7 linked regions of the Macaca fascicularis genome follow. The protein of the gene in region 2 purifies or fractionates together with the protein of the main gene of each other region. This does not show direct contact. Links are inferred from orthologs where the notes say so. Each region holds a gene or a part of one and is shown on either strand. Other genes may lie near its edges. The genes, in order: SMARCD3, ACTL6A, BRD8, SMARCC1, PHF10, DPF3 and TRRAP.

Evidence for each region.
Region 1: the proteins of ACTL6A (region 2) and SMARCD3 purify together in Homo sapiens (affinity purification with mass spectrometry; 3 studies listed by BioGRID and IntAct, with this or other methods). This does not show direct contact. The link is inferred for Macaca fascicularis from reciprocal best matches to the Homo sapiens genes ACTL6A and SMARCD3.
Region 3: the proteins of ACTL6A (region 2) and BRD8 fractionate together in Homo sapiens (co-fractionation; 4 studies listed by BioGRID and IntAct, with this or other methods). This does not show direct contact. The link is inferred for Macaca fascicularis from reciprocal best matches to the Homo sapiens genes ACTL6A and BRD8.
Region 4: the proteins of ACTL6A (region 2) and SMARCC1 fractionate together in Homo sapiens (co-fractionation; 8 studies listed by BioGRID and IntAct, with this or other methods). This does not show direct contact. The link is inferred for Macaca fascicularis from reciprocal best matches to the Homo sapiens genes ACTL6A and SMARCC1.
Region 5: the proteins of ACTL6A (region 2) and PHF10 purify together in Homo sapiens (affinity purification with mass spectrometry; 3 studies listed by BioGRID and IntAct, with this or other methods). This does not show direct contact. The link is inferred for Macaca fascicularis from reciprocal best matches to the Homo sapiens genes ACTL6A and PHF10.
Region 6: the proteins of ACTL6A (region 2) and DPF3 purify together in Homo sapiens (affinity purification with mass spectrometry; 4 studies listed by BioGRID and IntAct, counting the BioPlex papers as one, with this or other methods). This does not show direct contact. The link is inferred for Macaca fascicularis from reciprocal best matches to the Homo sapiens genes ACTL6A and DPF3.
Region 7: the proteins of ACTL6A (region 2) and TRRAP purify together in Homo sapiens (affinity purification with mass spectrometry; 7 studies listed by BioGRID and IntAct, with this or other methods). This does not show direct contact. The link is inferred for Macaca fascicularis from reciprocal best matches to the Homo sapiens genes ACTL6A and TRRAP.

What each region holds. Positions count from the first base shown.
Region 1 is NC_088377.1:192,524,447-192,527,946, forward strand, and holds part of SMARCD3 (SWI/SNF-related matrix-associated actin-dependent regulator of chromatin subfamily D member 3), read right to left. Parts: intron 3,219-3,500; coding exon 3,007-3,218; intron 1,248-3,006; coding exon 1,205-1,247; intron 386-1,204; coding exon 263-385; intron 146-262; coding exon 23-145; coding exon of another isoform or gene 7-22; intron 1-6. UniProt on the Homo sapiens protein: Involved in transcriptional activation and repression of select genes by chromatin remodeling (alteration of DNA-nucleosome topology).
Region 2 is NC_088376.1:91,315,539-91,319,732, reverse strand, and holds the start of ACTL6A (actin-like protein 6A), read right to left. Parts: upstream 2,801-4,194; 5' UTR 2,704-2,800; coding exon 2,493-2,703; exon of another isoform or gene 2,437-2,492; intron 1-2,436.
Region 3 is NC_088380.1:144,666,394-144,670,358, reverse strand, and holds the start of BRD8 (bromodomain-containing protein 8), read left to right. Parts: upstream 1-1,165; 5' UTR 1,166-1,182; coding exon of another isoform or gene 1,183-1,201; intron 1,202-2,127; coding exon of another isoform or gene 2,128-2,161; coding exon 2,162-2,224; intron 2,225-3,965. Other genes in the region: kinesin-like protein KIF20A, read right to left, coding at 1-115. UniProt on the Homo sapiens protein: May act as a coactivator during transcriptional activation by hormone-activated nuclear receptors (NR). Isoform 2 stimulates transcriptional activation by AR/DHTR, ESR1/NR3A1, RXRA/NR2B1 and THRB/ERBA2.
Region 4 is NC_088376.1:110,703,931-110,708,200, forward strand, and holds the start of SMARCC1 (SWI/SNF complex subunit SMARCC1), read right to left. Parts: upstream 2,801-4,270; 5' UTR 2,705-2,800; coding exon 2,510-2,704; intron 1-2,509. UniProt on the Homo sapiens protein: Involved in transcriptional activation and repression of select genes by chromatin remodeling (alteration of DNA-nucleosome topology).
Region 5 is NC_088378.1:1,310,907-1,315,001, reverse strand, and holds the start of PHF10 (PHD finger protein 10), read right to left. Parts: upstream 2,801-4,095; 5' UTR 2,728-2,800; coding exon 2,641-2,727; intron 1-2,640. UniProt on the Homo sapiens protein: Involved in transcription activity regulation by chromatin remodeling. Belongs to the neural progenitors-specific chromatin remodeling complex (npBAF complex) and is required for the proliferation of neural progenitors.
Region 6 is NC_088381.1:140,763,275-140,767,258, forward strand, and holds the start of DPF3 (zinc finger protein DPF3), read right to left. Parts: upstream 2,801-3,984; 5' UTR 2,788-2,800; coding exon 2,756-2,787; intron 2,750-2,755; exon of another isoform or gene 2,576-2,749; coding exon of another isoform or gene 2,167-2,575; intron 2,117-2,166; coding exon of another isoform or gene 2,043-2,116; exon of another isoform or gene 1,918-2,042; intron 1-1,917. Other genes in the region: uncharacterized protein, read right to left, coding at 2,043-2,116, 2,167-2,575. UniProt on the Homo sapiens protein: Belongs to the neuron-specific chromatin remodeling complex (nBAF complex).
Region 7 is NC_088377.1:47,584,194-47,587,693, reverse strand, and holds part of TRRAP (transformation/transcription domain-associated protein), read right to left. Parts: intron 1,829-3,500; coding exon 1,625-1,828; intron 1,540-1,624; coding exon 1,345-1,539; intron 814-1,344; coding exon 529-813; 3' UTR 1-528. UniProt on the Homo sapiens protein: Adapter protein, which is found in various multiprotein chromatin complexes with histone acetyltransferase activity (HAT), which gives a specific tag for epigenetic transcription activation.

The sequences.
Region 1 (3,500 bases), on a different chromosome or scaffold from region 2:
AGAGACCTGGGCCGGGACGTACATCATCCAGGAGCTTCCCCTCCACCCGTAGCTCCCAGGAGGCAATGCTGCCATCGGAGTCCTCAGCGTCAGGCTTCGCAGGGTTAAAAGTGTTGGAGATATAGAGACGCAGCTTCCGCTTTTGCTGTAGAAATAGAGTGTAGAACCGGGCAAATGCTGTGTGCTTCCACCCTGACTACCTTGCTTCCCCATCCTGGTCACGCGACTCAAGAGTCCCCTTCCTACCCCCGAACTAAGGCACCTTCATGGGCCTCTTCAGAGCCTCCTGGATGTCCACCCGCTTCCGCATGATGGTTTGATCCAGTTTCCTCTCAAATGCCAAGAGGTCCATGTAAGCCTGGGACTCGGGGACCAGCTCCCGAATCTGGAGGAGGAGGAGCAGGGCAGGAGTCAGAGGCTCGAGTCCAGGGTTGTACCATGGAATGTATGCATGTTGTGCAATCCTAGGGTGCAAAAGATGTCGGGGGAGCCATCCTACTTCTGGGCATGGAGCTTTGACAGTGGGAACAGGACCTCTCCCCAGGATGCCATTATCCAGCAGTAGGGGCCTTGCTGTGTAGGGATAACAATTGCTTCTCCCTTTAGGAAGAGCCTTGTGTATCATCACGGGGAGGAGGTAGCAACTGTGGAACCCAGCAAAGCACTAGCCTTTAGTCTCCTCATCCTGTCATTTTCTATGTCATATGCCCACTGGGCTTCCCCTGGGCCCCTGCAAAGTGCCTAGTAGGGGCTCAATCCCTGGGACAGTTGGACAGCAGTGCTTTCTTCTTTGCTGGCACATTGCTCAGCCCCCACACCTGTCCCAACTGTGCTGTCCCCCATATCCAGCTGGACCTGGGTCCCTTTAGGATGCTCAGGATCTCTGGCCACCTTCTATCCCCTTCATTCTGCCTGGCAGCTTTTGATCCCCTAGCTCTTGCCCCCTTCTTGTCCCACAACTCTGTCTTAGTACCACTTGGATCCAGCCCCCTGACAGGCCCCTGTGTTCTGGCCCCAGTGGCTCTGCTGCTTCCCTCCACCTCACCCCCTCCCTCTGGCCTAGGGAGCCTCACTTATTAATGAGTTTTTTTAAACAAAAAGTGAAAGTGACTGTGACACTGAAGCTCTGCTTTTGAGGGGGGAGGGGAGGGCAGAGCAGCAAAGGGTAGGGGGTGGGCTGGGGGCTGCTGTGAAAGACACTCACCCTTTGAGGGAGGATTTTGTCAGCCATCTTCCTCCTCTTGGCACTGTACATTTTTTAAAGAAAAAACCAGGTTACCATGGCGACAGATCTGGGAGTAACGAGGCCACCTGCTAAATTATCCCGACATCTCCGCCCGCCTGGCTGGGGTTCCCACAGCCCGCTTGTCTGCCCGCCCAAGGGCTATGACGGTGGTGTGTGGAACTGGTGCTCTGTCCTCTCTAAGGACACAGGGGTGACCCGTCCATTCTCTGGCCTGGGAGCCCCCTTCTAACCTGCCACATCCTTAGGGACAGAGAAATTTAGACTTAGGAGGGACTGGCGAGTGGGGGTGGTGCTGCCAAAAGATGGGAGCTGCAGAAGTGTTTGAGGAAAGGTGGGGATGAGGGAGGACAAAGGAGAGGGAAGCCAGGTCTGAGGACCTTTTCTGGAAAGCAGGGGGTGCCCTGTCCAAAGGATTCTAAGCTCAGAGGGAGGGAGATAGACGACTTCCTTCCTATCCATGGAGCGGAGGTGATGGTGTGAAGCTGGCGGGACTTGCATCCCTTCCAGGCACCCTGGGCTTGCAAGAGAATGCTGATGAGCAGGGGTACTCATGCCCTGGGACTACCTGGCAACAAGGTGAGGGACATGCTGCAGCCATAGGCGCCCAGAATGTGCATGGGTGTGACTTCAGGCTGAGGCCAAATTGACTAGGCCCAGGGTAGTAGCAGCTGGATGTGAGCTCTTTCTGACCCACTAGCTGCTGCTGACTAACCCAAAAACCCCCAGAAAAACCTTGGCGGGTCAAGAGATGAAAACGCAGCCTAGAGAATAGCTCCATACTGCCCCCGTGTGGTGTTCTCAACCACTACCCCCTCCCTATGCAGAAATCTAAGGCTAACAAGCAGATTTCATTAAAGGTCTGGTTTGTTTTAGACAGATTATCTTTGTGTAACTCTCCATTTATACAAGATAAATCAGGGAATTACCGTTTGCTGTACAAAATGACGATGCACTTTACAAAATAATTCATCATGGGATTCCTATAAGTGGTGAATTTTCCCTGATGTGTAAAAAATACTTAATAATGAGGTAAAATTGATATTACACCTTTTATAGAAATCCATCTGTTGTGCAAAAAAAGCATGTGTATTTGGCTAAATACTGAAATCCAGAGGGGCACTGCTGTTGCCAGGAGCCAGCAGGGGCTTTGAGGGTGCCACCAGCTGCTGGAGGAAAATAAGGCAATGGGCTGGCCCTGGTGGCTTGGGAGCAGACCTGGTCCAGAGTGCCTAAGAATTAAGAGCGGAACTGGGCAGAGACCACCTACCACAGGGCAAATCCCCAAGCTCCACCCCCAGGGCCAGAGAGTCCCATTGAGAAAATCTGGAGTGGCTTTGAAACAGTCCGGGGTCTGGCAGGAAGGCTCAGCGGAGAACTACACTTTGGGCAACACAGTCCTACAGCTCTGCCCTCAGTCCCACTGGAAGCCCCGCCCCCAACCCAAAGACTTAAGCATCACCCAGAACCTGATGGGTGGAGAGAGGGACTGAGCAGGTGACAAGGAGAAGGGTGAGGGGAGCGTGCAGGGAAGCGGTACCGGCTGCCGACGGCCACAGCCTGTCTCTACCGTGGGCACACAAAAGAATCAGGCCGGTGCCCCCTAAGCCCACCTCCCCAGAGGGCATCCGATCCGGGAAGCCTCGCTCCCTGCTAATCATTCTTCCTCACCTCTTCCAATCCCCGCTACTCTCTCACCTGGTCCCTGCGGGTCCCCAGGGCCCGCCCCTGCACGCCCACTCCGCGCCGGGCCTCCCACTCACCTGCGGCTCCGCGCGGGGGCGGTGGGCACCGGCTGGCCCTGGCTCTGTGCCTGGCTCTGCCCGGGCGGGGGCGCTGCTCGCTTACGGGCGGGCTCCATGCCCGCGGGGGCCAGGCCGGGTCGCACGGCGGGGCTGCCCATGTAGGGGGAGCCCGGGGGGCCCATGGGCGCCCCCTGGTGGGGCATCCGGGCTCCAGACGGCATCCCGGGGCGCTGTGGGTGGGCGGGGGTGAAGCAGAAACGGGCGCCCGTGGGTCAGACCAGGGCCCCCAGCTCCAGGCGCGGTGAGCCGGCGTCTCCCCTCCCCCACCAGACCCTCGGCTGGTGACCCTGAGCGCTGAGCGATGGGTGGGAACGATGGGTAGGAGGGGCAGGGGCGCCGGAATACGCGCGGCTCTGGCGGAGGGGCTTGGCGTCTGGCTGTAGGAAGCTAACTGAAGCCAGGCACCGCACAGGGCATTGCGAGCCTCGGGGCTACGGAAGGTACCGCAAAAA
Region 2 (4,194 bases):
CAATATCTGGTAGCAGTCTCACTTCCTGCCTCATACACTGACTTACTGGGTAATATGTCATCTCCTGAACACACCACATACTCTCAGCTAACCTTTGCATATGTTGTCCCTTTCCACTCCTCCTCCATCATCTCCATTACCTCTATTGTAAAGTCCCTTGACTCCACCACATGGAATCAATAACTTTATTCTCTGAACTACTTTTGCACTATATATATATAACATATGTAAATATATATAACATATATAAATATATAACATATAAATATATATAACATATATAACATAAAAATTATATATATTATATATATAAATTATATATAACATATATAAATATATATGTTTGTTTTTGTTTTTTTAGGATACAGTCCTGCTCTGTCACCCAGGCTGGAGTGCAGTTCCGGGTTCAAGTGATTCTTGTGCCTCAGCCTCCCCAGTAGCTGGGACTCCAGGCATGTGCCACCATGCCTGGCTAATTTTTGTATTTTTAGTAGAGACAGGGTTTTGTCATGTTGGCCAGGTTGATCTTGAACTCCTGGCCTCAAGTGATCCGCCCGCCTCAGCCTCCCAAGTTGTTGGGATTACAGGTGTGAGCCACCGCACCTGGCCCCTTCTACATATTGTTATCAATGAACAGCTCTCATTGAATTACAGTTACCATTTCTGATCAATATAAGATGCTATCAACTACATGATGCACCACTATTTCCGGCATCACTAAGAAAATAATATGGCAATTAAAACTCTGCCAGGCCAGCACTACTGAGACATATTCTGGCTGGGGGCAGTGGCTCAAACCTGTAATCCTAGCACTTTGGGAGGCTGAGGCGGGAGGACTGCCTGAGCTCAGGAGTTCAAGACCCGTCTCTATTAAAAACAAACAAACAAACAAAAGACATATTCCAACTTCAGCTGTTTAAATGTGGGAAAAATGTACAATTAAGAATCGGTGAAATATGGTGTCTATTTACCTAACGGATTCATCTACAAGACTGAACTTCTTGATGACAACAGCCTATACCTGCCACATAGTGCTCAAAAAACATTTTTGTGAAATAGAAAAAAATCCAACATATCAGCTCATTTTCCTGCCCTAATTAGTAAACTGGATATGGTGGAAGTTTAATTTAAGACTCTAAATTCTTAGAATTTTACATCTGTTCCTTTTTCAGGATGGGAGATACATCTAATTCCTGTACCCTGCTTCATTAAAAATCAAGCCCCATGAACCCTAAGTAGGAGAGTGGCAATGGGAGGCAGGAGGCTTAGTAGAAAGAACCACAGAGTTCTGGATGTTTAAAACCTAGGATGCAATTTCTAGTGTATAAAAATCCTCAAGAATTGAACCTCGGCCGGGCGCGGGGGCTCAAGCCTGTAATCTCAGCACTTTGGGAGGCCGAGACGGGCGGATCACGATGTCAGGAGATCGAGGCCATCCTGGCTAACACGGTGAAACCCCGTCTCTACTAAAAAATACAGAAAAACTAGCCAGGCGAGGTGGCGGGCGCCTGTAGTCCCAGCTACTCGGGAGGCTGAGGCAGGAGAATGACGTAAACCCGGCCACTGCACTCCAGCCCACTCCAGCCCGGGCGACAGAGCAGGACTCCGTCTCAAAAAAAAAAAAAAAAAAAAAAAAAAAAAAAAAAATTGAACCTCTATTCTACTAAAAAGGCTTTTTTTTCTTTTTTGAGGATTTAAATGTTTTTCTCCTTCCAAGTTTAGGGGTGATGTGATTTTCTTGGGGAACATGAAGGAAAAATCTTATTTTTGTTGTATCTTACCTGTAAAATGACATCCTTTATAGAAACAGCATCACTACTAGACACAGCAACAATAGCAATAGTCTGGATTTGTTTTCTGGGTCTCTAACTCATCAAACACAACCCAAAACATTAATTATATGTATCAGTGTTTTGATTCACCTGCAGATCTTGCAAAAATGGAGGCTCTAAATCAGTAGATTTTGAATGACGCGTGAGATTCTGCATTTCTAACAGGCTTGCAGGTGATGCTGACACTGCTGGTCCATGGACCAGACTTTAAGTGGCAAATGTAGCATTATTTCATTTAACCTTCACGCCCATCCCCATTGGCTAGGAATTATTCCACAAATGAGGCCTGAAGTTGGAAAATTATGTAAATTGCCTAAGACCAAAGCGCTCAACAGTGAGGCGGATATTTCAACTCAGGTCTGTAACCCCCCGCACCTGGTAATCTTTCTGCCATACCAGTCTAATCAAGGATAAGTGAAAAAACAAGACGTCTAGGACCCCCGGCAAACTTTCTGGGCATCCTTAAACTACACGTGCTCCTGAATTAATCTCAAACAGACCCGCCCACGAGTCACTCTGGAGACTCCGCAGCCAACAAACAGGCAGGAGTTACTGAAAGGTGAGGCAGCTCGCGCATGGGGCACAGACAGGGAGGAGGCAGTACCCTAAGTGGCCGCCGCTTCCCTAGTCAGTTCTACGGCTTGAGGCTCGCATTGCCACCTGTGAGACGCTCTGGGAACCCTCCGTCCACGCTTGCAAACCGCCGGGACCTTCCAAGTTTAGGCGCGAGCACATGCGCCCCGACACAGCCGAGTCCAGGAGGCACTCGTGGAGATGCGACCCTGGGGCGGTAACGCAAGCCGGGCCCGGCGGCCGGCTGGACTGAGCTTCCCGCCCAGCCCCGAGGCTCTCTAGAGAAACGAGCGTGCATCCCAAAACCCTGCTTCTCCGGGGGCAGAGGCAGGAACCGGCCACAGAGAGCCACCACTCCAGGGCGCCCGAGGCGCTGGCCGAGCCTGGTGGGCTCCGGGGGCGGGCAGAGCGTGGGGCGGGGATGGGGCGGGGAGGCCGGGGTCCCGAGAGGGGGAAACCGGAAGGGAACGCCGAGGAGGGGAGGGCTGGGAGCGGCGGTTACAAACCCCACACGCCGAAAACGCGCGCTCTCTCCTCCGGCCGCACTCACTCACCTCCCCCGTACACGCCGCCGCTCATGGCTGCTGCCGGCGCGACCCCTACCCTAAGGGCTAACTGGAGAAGTGACTGCAGTGGCCCCGACTGCGAGTCCCGAGAAGCGATAGCCCCTGACTCCCTTAACTTCCACCGCCACCCCCCTCAGGCAACAAAGCGGCGTCCACACACCCCGGAGCTCAGCTACACTTGCTGTCTCCTCCTATCAGCCAATCACGAGGGTCCAGGCCTACGTTTAGTCAATCAGAATGCGGCTGCGCCGCATCCCCGCCGCGGCCCAGCAGGTTTAGCCAATCGAAGGCAGCCATGGGGGCGGGGAAAGAGGAAAGCGACAGCCGGACAGAAGGAGTTGGGTTGCGGAGCTGAAGCGGGCGGAGCTTCCCGGGTGGGCGAGAGAGTGGGCGGAGGCAGTGGGAGAAGAAGGAGGAAGGCTGGAGGGAAGCATGGGAGGGGCGTAAGAGGTGCGGCTGGGCGCTGAGGAGCTGCGGGAACCTGGGTAGGGGAAGGTAGACTTCTGGAAATTGAACGTGTGTCTCAACGCTGAGATTCCTGTCCAGTGACTGTGGGCAATGTGGATTTCTTTCTTTTTTTCTTCAGAAAAAGTATTTTAAACTAACTTTAGGTTGAAGAAATAAAAATTTTGCGCTCCACTTTGGGATAGGGGAATCAGTAAATCAGACAAATTGATAGGATCTTGTAATTTTTTAAATGGTTATTAATAAGTAAAAGAAGAATGAAATGATGCATTATCCCAGCTAAACCTAGGTAGCGCTTTAAAAACGATTTAAAAAATCAATTTCTTAAAAAAAAAAAAAAAAAATTTCAGGCCGGGTGTGGTGGCTCACCCGTGTAATCCCAGCACTTTGGGAGGCCGAGGCGGGTAGATCACGAGGTCAGGAGTTCGAGACCAGCCTGGTCAACACAGTGAAACCCCGTCTCTACTAAAAATACGAAAATTAGCTGGGCGTGGTGGCACACACCTGTAGTCCCAGCTACTTGGGAGGCTGAGGCAGGAGAATCGCTTGAACCCAGGAGGTGGAGTGTCCGGAGCTGCACGCCCCGGCCATAGTGAATAATAATTAAAGATTAAACGCCTGAGCTATATTCATTTCCACCCCACACCTTCTCCCTAGATTTACCTTCTTCCCTGTATTAATACTGCCATTAAAAGATGGCGCTCTTCCTGCTTCTTTTTCATTCTTTTTTCCCGCGCCTGCGAAAAGACTACCTGACT
Region 3 (3,965 bases), on a different chromosome or scaffold from region 2:
GGTTCTTGCGTACCACAGACCCCAAATCTGCAGCTGTGGACTCAAACATGGGAGAGACTACGACATCGTCATCGGACAGCAAGCCCGCTGGCGGAGAAAGGATCCCTTGCGACATGACGGCAGGGGCAGCCTAGGTCTAAAAAGAGACCAAAAAGTGGGCAGGGAGAACAACCTTTAGGGACAGAAGGGGCCGCGAATTTTAGGTAATAAGTCCCTTGCCCCAGGACACCGGGTCCCGCTCCCTACTTCCTTTCCCCTCTAATTATCGGCAAAGGGGAATGGAATGAGAGAAGTTCACTTAATGAACAATCGAGAGAAGTTTGAGGTTGCATTTCTGAAAGCGAACAGAAGTCCACAGAAATCTGGCTCCAAAAGCAAAAGGCCAGGCCTAAAGTAGGGCACCTCGCCCGCCGGTGCTGTGGAGGTGGTGTCAGGATCCCTCGGCTCCTTTTCTAACCTCAACCCAAGGACCACCGTGAGAACAGAGATGCAGCATTAAGAGAAAAACAGATGGCTGCAGTTCCGATTTCTTAAAGCCTATTCCGCGTGGGCAAGAGCTGGTAACCCGGGCTCCAGCACAGCCGCACACTCACCCGAAGACGTGCCACTTGCTCCTCCTCGGGTACCGGCTCACTCACACCTAGTCGCCGAACCTGGACTTTCGCAGCCGGAGAGCACAACTCCGCCCACGAGGTGCAGCTTTGTTACCGATACAATATTTTAAATTACGCGCTGCGTTCGTTCGGCCAATGAGATAGGGAAGTCTGCAGCTACCAATCTGCGTAAGGAAAAGGGGCGGGTCCGACTGGAATTCCAGTAGTTTGCATCCGCTTGACCTCTCAGATCTAATGTGGGTCCGGGTTACCAACTGTCGCGGGTTAGGAGTTATTTCGCTTGGGATTCTTCCAGCTTAACCCTTTTTCTTGAACCTTAGACATTTCTTACCTAAGAACCCTAAAGGAAATCTTGAGGCTTCAGCCGCCAACCCCTGTCCTTCCTTAGCAAAAATCTTAAAAGGATTGCACAAGATAACTGGTTTAGGGTGCTTGCTTTGTCTTAGGGGAAAAAACGACATTTCCCAGGAGGCACCGCGAACCAACGCCGGTACTCTACTTCCCAGAATTCCAGGGTTTCGGCCCTACCAGACCGTCTCTCCTCAGGGTTGGAGACTTCGGGGCCAAGATGGCGACGGGAACGGGCAGTGAGTATCTGAGCAGGTTTTGCGTGAAAGGCGTTTGTAGATCCGAGGCTAGGCACCATATTTTTGTTACACGCTTAGGGAGTGGGAGAAGTGGTTTGCTTGAGAGCTCAGGGTTTTCAGAGACCTGCGCTCCACAGCATCGTGAAGACCAACGTTTGGGGGCCCAGAAATCTGGGGTCTTGTTTCTCAGGGAGGGAGCGGAGGTGTGAGAGAAGGAGCTTAGTGAATCCTAGTGTGTTAGGAGCCCTTCGGGGTAACCGTAAAAGCACTCTAGAAACTTGGGCGTGCAGACGAAAAGATGTTATGAGCCAGACGGAGTAACCGGCACCTCAAAGAGCCATTCATTTTTTGTTCGACGTTTGTGAGGCAGTGGAAGTGGGGCCTTTTAACCATGAGCTTTTCTTGCCACTCAGGAAATTGCATCTCGGGGATTTCAGCCATTTTTCTTTTAGTGGACTGAAAAGGTCTTTTAGGCCCGACATTTGGAGTAGAGGATCTGAGAGAAGTAAACAAGTTTATGCTAAGAGGGAGGCGGGGTTGTAGGAGGGGCTGGCCGCTCGGGTTCCTGGGAAATAAGCCCTGAATAAGTTCAAACTGGAATAAAGTCCAGTATTCTTAAAACTGGGCTTTTAGGGAGAACTGCCTAATCTGACATTCCCAATTTTTTAATAAAGCGGAGCTTCAAGCCGTGGCGTTTTAAGAAATAAAATGTTAATAATTCACATGCAACAAATTGGTACCACAGTCACTGGTGATACTTCACTTGGAGAGGTGAAAATCAAGATTTGGTGATAGTAGCTCACTTTGTCCTAACAAGTTGGAATATTTTGTATTAGGCTTTTAGTCCCCTTTTTGGGGATTTTGGAGCTTAGCACTACAGTCTCAGTGGTTGCTTCCAAGGCTTTTTTTTTTTTTTCGTTTCCCAGAACACAAGCTGCTGAGTACTGGCCCCACAGAGCCATGGTCCATCCGAGAGAAGCTGTGTTTAGCATCTTCTGTCATGAGAAGTGGAGATCAAAATTGGTAAGCTATCTAGGATGTCAGCTTTTCTGGGTCTTAGAAATTGTTAGATACTCTTTCACATTGATAGATTTCTGTAGTTAATCATATTAAGCTGTAAGTAGACTTTTTCTTCTTCCCTTTTTTTTTTTTTTTTTTTTTTGAGACAGTCTCCTTCTCTCGCCCAGGCTGGAATGCAGTGGTGCAGCCACGCCCAGCTAATTTTTTTAGTTTTTAGTAGAGACAGAGTTTCGCCATGTTGGCCAGGCTGGTCTCGAACTCCTGACCTCAGGTGATCCACTGGCCTCAGCCTCCCAAAGTGCTAGGATTACAGGCGTAAGCCACTGCGCCTGGCCATGCCTGGCTAATTTTGTATTTTTAGTAGAGACAAGGTTTCACCATGTTGGCCACGCTGGTCTCAATCACCTGACCTCATGATCTGCCCACCTCGGCCTCCGAAAGTGCTGGGATTACAGGCGTGAGCCACTGCTGCCGGCCTTTTTTTTTTTTTTTTGAGACAGGGTTGCACTTTGTGGCCCAGGCTGGAGTGCAGTGGTGTGATCTTGGCTCACTGCAACCTCCATGTCTGAGGCTCAAGTGATCCTCCCACCTCAGCCTCTTTAGTAGCTGGGACTACAGGTGCACACCACCATGCCCAGATAATTTTTTGTATTTTTTTGTAGAGATAGGGGTTTCATCATGTTTCCTAGGCTGGTCTTGAACTCCTGGGTTCAAGCGATCTGCCCACCTCAACCTCCCAACCTACTGGGATTACGGGTGTGAGCCACCAGGCCAGCTGTATTTTTTTTTTTTAAACAGCTTTATTGAGATATAATTCACATACTATAAAATTAACTTACTTAAGATGTACAATATAATGGTTTTTAGTATATTCACAGTTGTGCAGCCATTACCACAATCTAATTTTAGAACATTTTCTTTATTTTTATTTTTTTTATTTTTTATTTTTTGAGGCTCTTGCTTTGTTGCCCAGGCTGGAGTGCAGTGGCGCAATCTTGGCTCACTGCAAGTTCCGCCTCCTGGGTTCATGCCATTCTCCTGCCTTAGCCTCTCGAATATCTGGGACTACAGGCGCCCGCCACCACGCTCAGCTAATTTTTTTTTATTTTTAGTAGAGACGGGCTTTCACCATGTCAGCCAGGGTGGTCTTGATCTCCTGACCTCGTGATCAGCCCACCTCGGCCTCCCAAAGTGCTGGGATTACAGGAGTGAGCCACCGCACCTGGCTGACATAACGCTTTTAAGGTTCATTCTTATATAGCATGTATCAATACTTAATTCCTTTTTTAGCTGAATAATAATCTGTTATATGAATATACCAAATTTTGTTTATCCATCGCTTGATAGACAATTGGGTTGTTTCCACTTTTTGACCATTATGAATAATGCTGATGATACGCACATTTGTGTACAAGGTTGTGGACAATGTTTTTAATTCTCTTGAGTTTTTTATTCAAGGAGTGAAATTGCTGGGTTATGTAGTAACTCTATTATGTTCGCTTTTTTTTTTTTGCAGACAGGGTCTCACTGTCACCCAGGCTGGAGTGCAGTGGTGCAATCTTGGTTCACTGCAACCTCTGCCTCCTGGGCTCAAGTGATTCTCTGGCCTCAGCCTCCTGAGTAGCTGGGACTACAGGCACATGCCATCATCCCCGGCTCATTTTTGTATTTTTTGGTAGGGATGGGGTTTTGTCATGTTGCCCAGGCTGGACTTTTTTTTTTTTTTTATTTAAATATTTATGTT
Region 4 (4,270 bases), about 19 Mb from region 2:
AATGCATTGTGTAGAAAAGAAGCAAAGAACCTTCTGATAATATTTTCACCACTTCGACACTAACACCCAGAGACTGAAAAGATTCTGGCTGTCAGGCCTAGGGCATATATGATTCTCAATCTCAGTAGACCACAGAAATACACTCTGGCTTTACAAAGTCCTGAGAAGTCAAAGACAACTTTGTCTATAAAGTCTCAGGGATAGTGAATCAACATTAGCCTAGTGGTCTCAATACTACTGGGCAATTCTTCAAACTGCTTTGTAGCCACTTCCCTACCCACCCAAACAAATATCTGAAGATGATTATCCACACCTAAAGCTTCTTGTAGTTGGTCCCAAACTGATGCACACTGAACAGTGTGGAGAGGTAGAAATTACTGAAATTTGCCTTTTTCTACTCTCTTCCTTGATATTCAAAGGAACATCTCTAGATTATTTTTCTTTGTTAAAGCTTCACTGAATTTAAGACCCAAAGCATTGGCTAAAAGGAATGTAATAAGAAAGAATTAACCAATATTTTCATAACATATTCAATCCCACTAGCCACTCCTGGAAGCTCTATTACCTACGTTTAAAAAGCGCGGTGGCTCACGCCTGTAATCCCAGCACTTTGGGAGGCCGAGGCGGGCGGATCACGAGGTCAGGAGATCGAGACCATCCTGGCGAACACGGTGAAACTTCGTCTCTACTAAAAATACAAAAAAATTAGCCAGGCGTGGTGGTGGGTGCCTGTAATCCCAGCTTCTAGGGAGGCTGAGGCAGGAGAATGGCGTGAACCCGGGAGGCGGTGGAGCTTGCAGTTAGCGGAGATCGCACCACTGCACTCCAGCCTGGGCGACAGACCGAGACTCCGTCTCAAAAATAAAATAAAATAAAATAAAAAGTGACCAATTTATCACTGTGTAAGAAAGGGCAATATTACTAAACATCTAGAGTCTAAATGTAATTTGGGGGGGGGGTCCAAGCACCTAAAAATATAATTACTGTCTCTCACTTCCTCAAACTTCAGACAAGAAATGTAATTTTTCCCAGCTGAACTTCCAAAATAAAAAAGAAAGAAAGAAATGGTCATTTCTGGGGTTTGTTTTTTGCTTGTTTGTTTTTGTTTTTTGAGACAGAGTCTTACTCTATTACCCAGGCTGGAGTGTAATGGTGCGGTCTCGGCTCACTGCAGCCTCTGCCTCCTAGGTTCAAGCTATTCTCCTGCCCCAGCCTCCCGAGTAGCTGGGATTACAGGCGTGTGCTGCCACACCCGACTAATTTTGTATTTTTTGGAAAGACGGGGCTTCACCATGTTGGTCAGGCTGGTCTCGAACTCCTCACTTCAGGTGATCCACCCGCCTCGGCCTCCCAAACCGCGCCCGGCCAGAAATGGTCATTTCCGAATGTACCACGTGTAATGCCAAAGGAACCCAAGATCCCTGCCCATGCCTAATAACTGCCAAACACTGACAGGCTTCACTGAGCTGTAAAGGCCAAATAAATAGGTTCCTAGTTTATCTTTTCATTCATTAAACAAATATTTACTAAGCAGCTACTAAGGGTAAGGCACTAAGTATCAGCCACGTTCCCGGATACACTGTAGTGAACAAAGCCCTTTCTTCAGTGCTATGATCCTCAATAGGAGAAAGTACAGAATTAAAGAGGGTGATAGGAAAACTTCAGAGGCTGGGGAGCCTTTTTGACTACCTGCTTCATTACACCCTTTAAGGGAGTTCTCCGGAATATTTACACAAAGGGGAAGTTGGAGAAAAAAAAAATGTTATAAACAAGGGATTAAGTCAAAACTTTGAAAACTACTGACTCGGCGGAACTTCCATTCCAAAGGTAGGATAAATAAGTAAATGACTAATTTCAAAATGTGGTAAACACTACGAAGAAAATAAAGGTGACATAAGAAAAGTGCTCTAATAAAAACTGGGTTCTCGGAAGGCCTCCCTGAAGAACACTTTACGTACAAGTGAACATTAACTCTCACGCCACACAGAACCAGAAGCACAATGAGGTAGAAACCGTCGTTAATAGCTCTCATCCATCCTAGAATTCACATTACCTGTTAGTAATTAACGAATACAATCATCCCAGTCGTTTAGCAAATCAACAACAGGTAGCAAACCCCCTCGAGACTTTGAATACTCTCTAAACAAAACTTGAAGCTGCTTTTACCACGCTTGCTCGGTCTTTAGGGATCATTGTTCATACACCTAAGGCAGCTGACAAAAGAGAGTCACACTCGCCTAGTGGCTGAGCTCGACCTGCTCTGGCACACGAGACTGAGCAGGGGCTTTCGCCAGGGGTGCGTGGGCTCACAAGAACAAGCGCCTGACCCGTCAGGCCACCGGCGCGCGGGCGCCCAGAGCGGACGGCGGGGGCGTGGCGGGCCCTGCGCCTGCCTTTGTTGTCCCTCGTGGCGTGCGGGGGGGAGGGGAGGCCCGAGGCCCGCGAGGCCAGATGCCGCCTCCGGCCCCAGTCGCGTGGTCTCCCGGCCCCCATGGGCGCGCGAACCCACCTTCTTGTAGTGCTTGCCCAGCCAGACCCGCACCGAATCCAGCTGGGACACCGTCTCCGGGCTCTCCCAAAACTTGGTGGCCGGACCCCCATCCTTCCGCCGATAAACGGCTAGGCCTGCGGCTACCGCCGCGGCCCCCGAGCCCGTGGCGCCTACCGCTGCCCCAGGCCCGCCGCCGCCCGCCGCTGCGGCCATCGTCGCAGCCCGTCGTCCCCACAGCCTGGCCCACCCCAGCCCTCGCGGTGTTTCCCGTTCGTTCCCGCGCGCGCCCGCGCGCGCGTAGCCGCCACTGCCGCTTCCCGGCCCCGCCCAGCCAACCCCCTTCCGGTGCGGACGCCCGGCCCCGCCCCCTCTCGGGACTGGCGCCGTATCCGACGCGAGCCCGCGCATACGCATGCGCAGCACTCGTGCGGGCGCGCCTTGGACTAGCACGTCCAGCCGCCTCTTCCGCCAGCCTCTGTAGGCTCCGTTCTCCCCTAGTGAGTGCCGGTTATTGAGCCATGCTCTTCCCTCGCTACCGACGTCGAATCGTTATGCGGTTAACAACCGCAGGTTGATTCTGTGTCATAGCCTGCCTCCGCTGAAGGGAAAAGGTCTGGTGCGAGAAGTGCCGAGGGGAAAGCCTGCCTAGGGTATCGAGTGCGCCGGGCCCGGCTTTCCCTTAGACCCTCCACCCCCAGCGGCCCGGCGGCATTTGGGAAGAGCCATCTGGGACGCCCACGCCAAGGCTTTTCGGCTTCACAGACCTTCCACTCCCTCAGGGGTCCAGCCACAGCGGCTCATTCCTGCCCCCACGGGCCCTTGCATCGGCTGTTTCGGAGACCTCAGCGGGTCTTCCCTTCTGATTTTCACTTATGAGACGCGTTCAGATTCACTGGTTCAAAGGACTTCAGAAAGCCGTTGTCATATCTTACAATCTTGAACTGTTCACACCCATACACTTTCTGCGTAGCGCTTACCATGACCCGGTGTTTTTAGTTTCTCATTTACCTTCCACATAAATTACATGAGAACCTAATCTTAACTTGTTCACAGGTGTATCCTGAACACCTGAGACAATGAATACATGTACAGTGAATACTTGATGAATTAATGAATGGCCCATATAGAAGCCGAAAATTTTTAAATTATCAAGGTATGATTGGCCGGGCGTGGAGCACTTTGGGAGGCTGAGGCGGAACGATCGACTGACCTCAGGAGCTCTAGACCGCCACGCCCGTCCCCGTCTCTCCAAAAAAGTACAAAAAGCAGCCGGGCATTGTGTTGCAAGCCTGTGCTCCTAGCCTCTTGGAGGGCTGAGGTGGGAGGATCGCTTGAGCTGGGGAGATGCAGGCTGCTGCAGTGAGCTATAATCGCGCCACTCACGACACCATCCTGGGCGACAGAGCAAAACCCTGTTTCAAAAAGTACGACTGGCCATAATGGAGTTGTGAACATAATGCTATATGATCTCAGAGAAGCAAGTAACTAATTGCTTATGAGAAAGTGACTAACTGCTGATAAGGTTTTGAGACCTTTTAAAAATGAGGGTATGTACGTTTTCAGGATCTCCTGAGGGCTGTGTCACGGACAGTAAAATATATTAAATAAAAAAATGAATAGAATGTGATCAGGAGGGCCAGGCGAGATGGCTCACGCCTGTAATCCCAACACTTTGGGAGGCCAAGGTGGGCTGATCACAAGGTCAGGAGTTCGAGACCAGCCTGGCCAACATAGTGAAACCCCGTCTCTACTAAAACTACAAAAATTAGCCACGCGTGG
Region 5 (4,095 bases), on a different chromosome or scaffold from region 2:
GCAAGACCTGGAATAAAATTTAAAACTGATCTTCAATCCAATCAAAATAAGAGTATTTTCAATTAACCCGTAAATGTAAATCTGCTTTTGCTTTCTTGCCAACTGAGGTTAAAATGCTTTCTGCTCTTCATAAACACATAAAACTGCTGCATCACTCTAGGATTAAAGCAAACTCTCCTACCCAAGCCCAGGGGGGAAAAAATGTATGGATCATTTACAGTTCCCAGTTCAACTTGGAGTCGGTTCATAGGACTATTTTAATTGACTAGGCATTTATGTCCCCATGAAAAGGGGACATACAAGACTGAAAACAATTCTAACTATTCACTCTTCCTCTTACATTGCTAAAGGTTAGCAAAAATATACCCTAGTAAGGGTCATCAATCTATAATATAGCAACACACACTTCAAAAAAAGAACCTTGAGAGGGGGAGGGGAATTTTTTTTTTTTAAGGAAGAGGCTTATATATTTTTAATGTAATACATTATGTGGCAAGAACATGAAGGTTATAAATTCAAACACTGCACTCAGAAAATGTATCAGATGTTAGGAAATTGATTTATTTACTTATCAGCCAAAGCTTAAGGTCTAAAAAAATCATAATTTTTAAAATGTAATATAGCTTTTAACGCTAATCCAATTTTGCTAAATATCATGGTGTTCTTGCTACATATTAAAATGAAAGGAATCCTACAAAAGAATATAAAGTGGCAATATGGTATAGTGGCCAGGCATGCCAGAGCTGGACGGCCTAGGTTCTCACTGGGCACCGTCCCTTACTAGCTGAGTAAGTTACTCTCTGTAAGCATCTCCTTATCTGAAAATTTGAGATTATAACAGAGCCCCTATTACATGGCTAATTCAATGATTAAATGAGCTACTATATTAAAAGTACTTAGAACAAGGACTAGCGAATTATCTGACAAATACTAGTTAAAATGATGATTATGATAATAAAGTCTCAAATGTCCCTAGCTCCTAGGAATTTACTGGTTCCTTTCCAAATAGTAAAATATATAATCTTTTTCAGTCCTTATAAAATTAGCATTTCATTAAAGAGCTCTGCACAGTCTAAATCTACTCTCTGAAAATTTGCATAAGTATCACAACTGCAACATTTCATATTCAATACTTTTAACATAACTCATTTTAAACATTCCAGTATTTTTTTTCTATTTTATTTGTGAGCATTTTAAGGATTTTTATGTCCTTAAACTTAAGTATATTTCCCTTTAGCTAAAAAATTGAGACACTCAAAAATATACAAAAATAGTTAAAAATGCAAAGTGCTCAAAAAAGCTGAGACTACAATTTCAAAAAGTGTTTTAAATTACTAGTACAAATTCTAGGCAAAGGCATTATTATACAAAGTGAGCATCTGGGCAGAGAGCCTTTTTCTAGAGAGAGGTAGTAACAGCAATATTGTTCCCAATACACGACGGAATAAGGTAAGAATTTCCGTGTAATCGCAATACTGATACACAGGCCCATGTTTTCAAAGACTCCCAAATGTACTAAATCAGAGATGTGCCTTCCAGAGTTATAGGTGGTTTCCACCTACGGATCAGATGAATTTCTATGCATCACGTCCTTCTTAAGGCTCAGGGGTCAAGAATGCACTCAGTGGGCACTAGCTCAGTGCCCTCCAGGTGCCGGGCCAGACGTCAAACACTGGAAGTGCAAGGCTGTGCATTCAGAGTCTTACAATCTAGTTACTTCCATTGGCGAGGGCCTTTGAGGAACCTTCAAAACAAGTCTTTCTCTTACGGCACGACAGACGTGCGCAACGGGAAAAGCTCCCGGGCAGGCGCAGCCCCGCTAGGCTGCCACAGGATGGCTTCCCCTGCCAACGCGCACACCGCACACCGCACACCGTACGAAGGCTGGCTGGCTCTGAAGCATTTCAGTTCCCGCCGCCTTCTAATTTCAACCCAATTTCAAGTTTCGAGGCTTTTAAAACATCATTCCTCCCTTCCAACCTTCTGTCACAAACTGCTAGCCTAACTTTGGAACCAAAACGTTTTGATGCGTGACACTCTACTGCTCATCTCCATTTTCTCCACAAACACCAATTTTTCACCTCCTCAAGCAGTAAAAAGTTTAAAAAAAAAAAGACTTCCGCCGAAAACATCCGGACGCTTGCGTATTTACTTAGTTATTACACTAAGTTCACAAACTGAGTGTGTTGATTTTCCATATCGTTCGCCACTCGGTTTTTTGCAGTAAGCTTTCAAACACTTCAGCAAACTATGCGCGGAATGAAGACTGAGCGAACTAGCGCGCTTCTGCAGGCCCCTCCGAGGCCAACTCTTTCGGCCCCGGACGCGTTCCGTTCCGCGGCTAGCCCCGGAACAGGCGTTTTGGGGACAAGCTTGTCAAGCGGGGCCGGCCGCCAACTTCGGGGAAGCCGCGCCGCGTCCCCCGCCCGCCCGCCCGCCCGCCCGCACTTGTTGCTCGCTAGAGGCCGCGGGCTCCCCTCGGGGCCCCGCCTGGCCGACCACCCCCGGTTTCAGGCGCGGAGCCCGGCCTGGGGCCCACGCCCCCGAGACGCTAGGCGGCCGCCGGTGGGACTGGGCCGAGGCCCCGGCACACGGGCCCCGGACGGGGTCAGGGTCGGGTCGCACCGGCCGCTTCCTCACCTTCGGGGACTGCGCTCCGGGGGTAGCTGGGTCGCTGTCGCACGGCCGCGGGGACAGCGCAGCCCCGGGCCCGGCCGCCGCCGCCATCAGCCCGAGCGCCCCGCGCCGCCGCCGACGCCGTCGCCTCCGCCTCGTCCCGGCCGCCGCCGCCGCTGCCGCCGCCGCCGCCGCCGCCGCGCGGGCCCCCCGCCGCCCCGGCCCCGCCCCCTCCGCCCGCCCGCCCGGGGGCCGGCCCCTGCCGCCGCGCGCCCCGCGGCCCGCCAGCGCCGCCGCCACCGCCATGGCCGCCGCCAGCGCGCTGCCCGCGCGGGAGGGCGCCAGAGGCTGGAAGGGCGCGGGGCTGCGGGCCGGAATGGAGGAGGCCAGGCGGCGGCGGCGCTTCTCTCGTCAGCCCAACCCGCCCGGCCGCGGCCGCCGCCTCAGCACCGCCGCCCCCCACAGCTCCGCCGATGGCCTAAGCGCCGCTGCCCCCCCCACAGCGCCGCCGCGGCTCCCTTCAGCCCCGCCGCTCGCTCGCCTCAGCGCCACCGCCGCCTCAGCCCCGCCGCTCCCCTCAACCCCACAGCCGCCTCAGCCCCCCTGCTCCCCTCAGCCCCGCGGCCGCCTCAGCCCCGCCGCCGCCTGACTCCCCACGGCCCGGCGCTGTACTCGACCGCGGCTCCCCCCAGCCCGCGGCGCGCCCCACCTCCCGCCCGCCCTCCGGCCCGCCCCGGCCCGGCTCGTCGCCACTTGGCGCGCTCGCAGCCGCCCCCTCCCCGCGGCCCCCGGCCCGGCCCCTCCACGCGTCACCCTCGCTCCCTTCCTCTCTCCCGGTGGCGCCCGCCCTGCCCTGCCCCGCCCCGCCCCTCCGGGGGTCCCCGCCCCACCCCCTCCCTGCCGGGGGTCGCCCTGCTCGGAGCAGCCGCGCGGAGACTGCGCGGCCTCCGCCTCCGTGCGCTCGCAGTCGTCGCTCCTCGCCCGCCTTTGTTCTCGGACCGCCCCTCTCGCTGGCGACGCTCCGAGAGAGCCGCGGAGCCACCTGCCAGGGCCGCGCTTCCCCGAGCATCCAAAGCTGTCCCCGCGGGCTGTCGACGCCCGCGCCGGAGCGTGCGGGAGGCACGGCGGGAAGAAGTCGCTGAGATTTGGCCCTCGCGGCTTTGCGTTCCCGCGTGGTTGATGCCTCCGCCGAGAACGCGGTCGGCCGGGAGCCGGGGAGGAGCCTGGACGCCGGCCTGGCAGGTACCCCCGCGAGAACGTGGGAGCCGGTGGGTTTCAGATGCATTTATTACTGATGTCGGGCTGCATCAGGGCACTTCTAGGACCGCACTGAAAACAGCGGGAAGTGAGGAGCCGAGCCTGGTCCGGGGCGGCCCGCCATACAGCTGGCTTGCGTCTCCAGATGACTTGTTCTGGAGAGTAAAAAATGCTGTCGGATTTAAAGTACAATCCTGTCTCCTTTCCATTCATTAGTGTTGC
Region 6 (3,984 bases), on a different chromosome or scaffold from region 2:
TTTGTGTGACCATTTTCTGTAGGGGGCGTCCGTGGTGTTGGCTTTTTTTTTTTTTTTTTTTTTTTTTTTTTTTTTTTTGGAGGGAAGAGAGAGACTCAGAACGCACACAGAGAAAATGCTAATGTCATTCAGCTCTGTTTCATTGTCAGGAGGGACACATGAGGATAAAAACATAGCTCTCCAAACCATTCTCTCCGCTACCCCTCCTCCCTGCACCACCACCATCCCTTCGGCTGGATGTGTCTCTGCACTTTGTTCTAATTTATCCCATGCATAATTTATTCACGTTTGTATTGTTTCCTGATCAGCAACTTTTAAAAACAAATGAAATATATAAGATGTTTTATTAAACAAGTTGTTTAAAAAAAAAAAAAAAGGCAGATGGTGTCCGTCTCCCAATAACAACGTGTGTGCTCCTGCATTAGGAGTTAAAAACTGTCCAGGGTGTGAGAGGCTGGGCTGGTCAGGGGTATTGTTTACACCCCTTTACCCCCAGGGAAAGGGTCTGGGAAGCAGAAAGGAATGGCTAATTATAAATGACCACTCAACTCCCACCTAGAAAAAGCAAGCAGGGGCGTTGTGTGTATGCTAGTGTGTGCATGCGTGTGGCGGCACAATTACAAATACATCACATTGCAACTGTTTCTAATTATACAAAGTACAATTCAGAACTAATTCCCCTAACCAGCCGGGATTCCGCCACCTTCTTTCCCCCCCGTCTGTCCCTTCCCCCACCCTTAACCCCACCCTACACAGACTCCCTCCCCAAACGCGCACCCTACTGTGATCCAAAAAAACCCTGGAGCGAGCAGGGGAACACTGAAGCTTAGAGATACTGCGCCCGCCCGCGCGAAAGCGGGCTCCCGGGTAACTAGGGTACGGCTTTCCCAGTAGGAAACAAACCTGGTGCACATGTGAAATAGATTCTCTAACTTGAGTTTACCAGGTGGCATCAGCCTGGTTATGTGATTTCGGCTGGATATGGGGAAACTGCAAATCAGTTGTGGGTTCGGTAGAGACAGCATCAGCGGTGTTGCAGCGAAAGCAACCGGCAGCGAGGATGCGGCGAAGTTACGCCCATTTATTCTGCCATAAAACATTTTCTTTCTTGGATGAAACGCTGTGGCGTTCAAGTGCAGTGTATCCGAGCTTCCGAGGCAGAACTGAAGCCGGGAGCTCCTATCTGCTCAGCCTCAGCTTCCAACGTCCTCTTAACGGCAGCTTTCATATAAATATCTTTGAAACCTGGGGCATTCCTACCCGTTTCCCTATTTCTGGTGGGCGACGAGCTGGTGCAAACACGTCTGATTCTCCCTGTGCATTCCTTTGCGTTAGGAACCCCCCTACCGTCTCCGGGAGCGAACCTGGTTTTCAACTCCAGGAGTGGCGAGGGGTGAAGACGAGAATGCGCTGAATTAAAAGAAGCAGGGTCGACAGTGGCCACGCACCAGGGAGAATTCGGCACGAACCGCCCCCTACCCGGCCCGCACCTCCCTCTCCCCCTCTTTGCCTGCGGCTTCGTCCGGGCGGGGAAGTCCCGGTCGAAGGGGTGCGGACCCCCAGCCCACCTCGAATACGGAGGGAGCCACCCTCTGCCGACATCACCCAATAGCACCCCTTTCAGAGCGACACTAGTTTTCCGAGGCCACCCTTGGCTCCGCGATCGCGAGCGGACTTGGCGGCTTAACAGTTCCACCGACTGGAAGGAAGGAAGGAAGGAAGCCAGGATGAAAAGGAGGAGGAAGGCAGGCAGGCAGGCAGAAATTGGCTGTTGGACCCGGGGCTGGCCCCCGCGAGTGCTCGTCCGGCCCGCCCCACTCTGTCCAGGATCTGGACAAGCGCTCAAAGTCTCCCCGGGGCGGCCAGAGGCACCTGCCCCTCGCCCGGCCGGGAGCAGACGCTGCCCCCTCGGGCCAGGAGCCCCAAAACCGCCTCTCCGCCTGCCTCGGCGCCTCACCCAGAGGTGGCGAGAACACCATTCATAAGACCTGCGGCTTCCCTGCCTCCAAATCCACCCCAAGTTAACCCGAGTCGTTAATCCACTACAGCCAGGTTGCTCGCAAACACACGAGCAGACACACGCGCGGTCGCCCGGAGCGCCTCCGAGATCCGGGGGCTGCCGGGGAAAGCCCGGGGCGACCACCTGGGACCCAGCGCGCCCGGGACCCGCTGCTTCCCCCGCGGTGCTCCCAACTCCGGAAGGTTTGCACAAACTCCCCGCGAGCGATCGGAAGGCGAAGAGCGCCCTGCAAACTCCGGAGCCTCCGCGGTGCGTCCGCCGGACCCAGCAGACCCAGCGGCGGGGCGGGGGCCGCGGGCTTGGGGGTGCAGGGCTCGGCCAAGTGCACCGAGGCAGTCCCGGCCCGACGCTCGCCCCCCGCCCGGCCGCCCCCGGAGCCTCGCTCCCTGCCCGCGAGGCGGGGGACTCCAGGGACCGCGCTGTCCCCGAGCTCCCGCGACCCCCCTGCTGTAGAGCGCTCGAGCGCCGGGCTCCTCCGCCGGCAACCCCTATCTCTCGCTCTCTCTGCAATTTAGCAGAACACAAATGTAACAATTTTCTTCTTGTTAATTGCATCTCCTGACATTTCTGCGCGTTGGGGGAAAAAAAAGAAGTAAGAGCTGAAAGAAGAGAGAAGCCCCGCCGCGGCTGGAGGCGCCTGCAAGCGCAAGCACTGGCAGCGCTCGCCACGCAGAAGGCGCCTTTTTTTTCATATTGAAACCACGCGGAATATGTACATTTTTTAGTCTTACTTACGCTTTCAGGGGGTTGTGAATGACAGTCGCCATTTTGCTACAATGTAACAGAATATTGTCTGTCTCAGAGTTCTAAAGGTTCGCTCAGGGGAAGCGACAGGCCAATCAGAGCGCGGGATACCGGCCCGCCGGCCAATCGGCGCGGCTGGTCGCCAGGTGGGCGGGGCCTGCTCGGTGGTAGTTATTAGGGGAGCTGTCAAAGCCCAGAGGTCACTCCCTTTTGTAGAGCCCGAGAGCCAGCAGGTCTTAAAGGGGAAGTACCGCGTTGGCAGCTCCTTTTCGGGCTGGGGAAAGTGGAGACGCACGGGAGAATATTATAGTTTGGTTCAACTCCCTACTTTTCTAAATAACTGCAGAGTTTGCGCTCCTGGACAGAAATATTTCAATATTGCCAGCAAGCCACTGAATCCTATTCATTAGCTTTTGGCTTTGCATATCAACATTTTTAATCCCCCAAAGGGTAAATCCCCGTGTTTCAGTACAAAAGTTGGAAGGCTGCCGCTTCGTGTAACAAATTACTTCGTGTGCTTTGCCGTTTGCTAATGCTCTGGGTCCTGCTGCTTTTTAATATTCTTATTCCCGAAGTGTTCTCTTTATCTCCGCCACCTTCCTCTCTCGCTTCTTGGAACTGCCGCTGCTGTTCCTGGCGACTCCAGGACAGCAACTCACCCTCCCCCTGGAATGCCTCAATGTCAGGCTCACTCCCTCCTGCAGCCAGGGCTTTCTTTACGTAGTGCAGGGGGGTTACTCTGCGCGGTCCGCCGCTACCACCCCTTCTGTTCTGCTCCCTACACCAGAAACTTCCAAAATGCTCAGATTCCTGCTCGGTGGTGCGACCTGGAGCTCTGACCTTTAGGCTTAGAGGTAGGGAGGACTTGAGGCAACCTTTGGAAACTTTCTACTACTAGGAAGCAAGTGCCTAGGCAGAAGTCGTAGAGCCTGGACTGGGTGTTGTCAGAGTCCCTTTAGAGGAGTGGCACACGCGATTCTGACGTCACCTTTCACTACTTAGAAGGTGGAAAGAATTTGCTAGTGAATAATCCGATGTGACCCGAGGCGTCCAAAGAGTCTGTGTCTGCTTCAAGTCAGTGTGAACTCTTCACTGGCGAGCCCCTGACAAAATTGGGAGACTTCTGCGAAGTCAGGCTTCCACTGGGCACCGGGAAGCTCTGCGTGGATGAAACCGCATTAAATCGAGAATAGGGTAGGGGCCTCGTTAGCATACAGAAG
Region 7 (3,500 bases), on a different chromosome or scaffold from region 2:
AAGGCTGGCTGCGTACAGCCTAAAAGTTTGTGCTCAGAGAAAAACCAGCACGATGGGTTCATCATCTGTTTCTCAAACCAAACGGGTTTTCTGTACACTTGTTACAAAGGTCTGTACAAAAGCAGGAAGCTGCTGTGAGGTGTTATTTCCGAAAGAGTTAAAAATGGATGGTAAGGAGCGGTTCGCACAGTCCCGCCTGTACGTTCACAGACAGAGGACACCATAAAAAAAGGGCTCACCCAGAAATTCCAGACCGGAGAATCCTGGTTTCTTAAAAGATTATTTTAAAAGCTTGCAGGAAGTTTCAGCTCTGCCATTTCTAACCGCCTCGCCCAGCGTCGTCATAGTTCAGCTTCCTCTAAAACTAAATTCTCCCTCTCACACACCAACTACCAGGAAAATAACTGCAACCCAGTGGAACCGCGGGGCTTCTGAGAATAAAAGGAACGAGGCAGGGACAAGTCGTATAAGCTGCGGGCTCAGAGCCTGGGGCGCCCTTCACATTGCGGGTGGCCATGGCGGCCGCGGTCACAGCCAGGGGTGCCAGGCAGGGTCCATGCGGCACAGATTGTCCAGGCTGTTCGCTGCGGCCACCAGGGTGTTCACCTTGCTTTCCCCGCCTTCGAACTGGGCGAGGTTGTGCAGGCGGGTCATGATGGCGGTGACGGCTTTCTGAACCAGGGACACCAGTTGCTGGCTGTCCATGTTCTCCGGTTGCCCGGCGGCCGAGAGAGGAGAGGACGTGTCCTCCTGCGTTTTTTTGTGCCAAGCAATGATCTCATCCCGGAGAACTGTTTTCAGAATGCCGTCCACCTGCGTGAGGGAGAGAACGAGAGGACGTGTGTTTAACCAAGAACAGCCCAGAGGGGCAGCTTCCTAACAGGGTGGGACTCAACCACAGTGGCCGCCCAGGGCCACCGAGGGCCCGTCAAGCCTCAGCACCAGGCCAGGCTGTGTGCTCTCAGGATGGGCTGGGGAAGCCGCTGAGGGACAAACCCCTTCCTCCACTTGGAGCAGCAGCCAGAAAGCCTCCGTGTTGGGCAGCACAGACCCGGACGGCAAAGGCAGCCATGCTGCGACTGGGGCCCGATCTTTTTATTTGTTCACTTGACGCCTTCCAGCGTCTGCCCAGTGTCCAGCAGGCCCATTCCAAGCACTACAGACGAGAGTGAACCAAAGAGAAAACCATCCCTTGCCCGCACAGCAAAGGACGTAACACGGGTGCCGGCCACTGTGGAGAACGCAGAGCCCGTGAGGCAGATCAGCAGCTCCTGCAAGGCCGTGGCGCTTGGGCATCTGAGTGGCCCCAGCCTGTGCCCATGACAGGACGACGCGGAGACCCACCTTAAAGTTCGGCTGGGCGAAGCACCGGGCAACCGCAATCATGGATGCCGTCAACGGGCCGGAGACACCGATGGTAGTCAGAAACTCAGAAATGTTGGGCGTGAGTCGAAACGGGACAGGACGGTTGGCATCTAGGTCTCCAGTGGCGTCGTTTATGTCAAACCGAAAGTAGGCAACATTCAGTTTGCCAGTGTCCTAAATTTCAGAAGGAGACACTTTAGGAACTTCAGCAGAAAGGCAATGTCACGAGGAGAGGATCTGGCAGTTCAAACCAGGTTACCTGAGCGATCTGTAACATCTCGGGGTTGAGTCTATTTAAATGCAGGACGAATTCCGCGAAGCCTATCAGAGCCAGCTGGATGGTGAACATCTTCCGGAACGTCCAGTAGTCCGTGGCGTTGGGGAAGGTGTGCAGCGCCCACTCCTTGAGCATGCTGCGTGGCACCATGTTACTCTGAACCTCCTTGAGGATGTCGCGGAGGACCTGAAACACATCACCCCGTGACACTCCCATCTCACTCACTGATTTTTTTTTTTTGGCAAAAGAAAAACTCTCAAATTGCAATTCCTCTTTAACTTAGCACCGAGAGTAAATTCTGGTGACAGATTTAACACGCGCATTGTTAGGAGACTGAACGTGAGGAGGCGCAAGATGGCTGCCTCCGTCCAGGGTTCGCCGCCGTCTGCTCTAAAGCACCAACGCAGCTGGTCTGCGCCAAAGCCGCAGTTACCTGACATGCGATACCTGACAAGAATGCAGGCAAGTATCTGACACTTCCACCCTTGCTGACCACAGAAGGTATCAGGCCAATTAACAGAACACAACAGCCGGACACCAGCAGCACCACTTCCAACCAAGACCTTATACTAATGACCAATATTTCACAAACTGAAGGAGCTGGTCTAACCACACACACACTCGAGACTGAACTCCGTACTCATGGACTATTGCAGACATCACCAACTCAGAAAGTTTCCTTAGTTAATGGAGTTCCTGTTCGACCATCTGGTAGAGGCACAGGGTCTCTTCCAGACTAAGTCCTACCCACGTGCTCCGAATGGCCGTGAGGCAGAACGTGAGAAAGGTCGTGAGAAAGTTCTTGCCTTCCACCGGGAAGAACAAGGCAGGCCACTGGCCACACACGCAGTTTGTTTCCTCATCTGTCAAACGGGAAGGAGCACTTCTGAGACGGCAAAGGATTTCCAAAGTCTGCTCCTGAAGCAGTTAGAATGCTGGCAAAACCACCAAAATCAACTTTGTCAGAACTCTAGGAACTAAAGGCTTACAAGTCTGAGGAGCTTTTTTTAAAATTTATTTAAAAAAACCCAAAAAAACAAAGGCTGGGCTGGGCATGGTGGCTCACGCCTGTAATCCCAGCACTTTGGGAGGTCGAGGCGGGCAGATCACAAGGTCAGGAGTTTGAGGCCAGCCTGGTCAACATGGTGAAACCCCGTCTCTACTAAAAATACAAAAATTAGCCAGGCGTGGTGGCGGGCACCTGTAATCTCAGCTACTCAGGAGGCTGAGGCAGGAGAATTGCTTGAACCCAGGAGGCGGAGGTTGTGGTAAGCCGAGATCATGCCACTGCACTCCAGCCTGGGCGACAAGAGCAAAACTCCATCTCAACAAAAAAAGAGAAAAAGAGAGAAGAATGAAGGAGTAGAATAAATAACAAAACAAACAAGAGGCACATAGAGGAGGAAGTGGCTCTGAAGCTGGATTCCTCTGTGCTGTGGGCATCTCCCTCTGCCGACAGGCCCTGACAGCTGCTAACCTGGAACAAACATCCCAGTTGGACACTCACGCTGTTTAGAAACAGGATGACTCTGGGGTCAGCACGTATTTGTCACTGGCTTCCACGATGTCGAAAGTTAATGTTGCCTTAAGAATATAATCCATTCTTCTCCTGCAAATACCTCAGAACTGCCCATTGTCCACAGAATGACCAGGCCATGGCCTGTGCCACAAAAAAGCCCTGGCATCAGTTCCCACGAGAGGCCATGCACTCTGTCAACAGAGGCTGATCAGAAACAGGGATCCATGCCTCTGCCTGCAGAGCTGGAGGCTGCACCTGACCCTGCAGCCTGGAACACCTTGGGCCCTGCCGTGCCCTGGGCCACAGAGGACACCATGGGCTCAACCTTCCTCAACCACA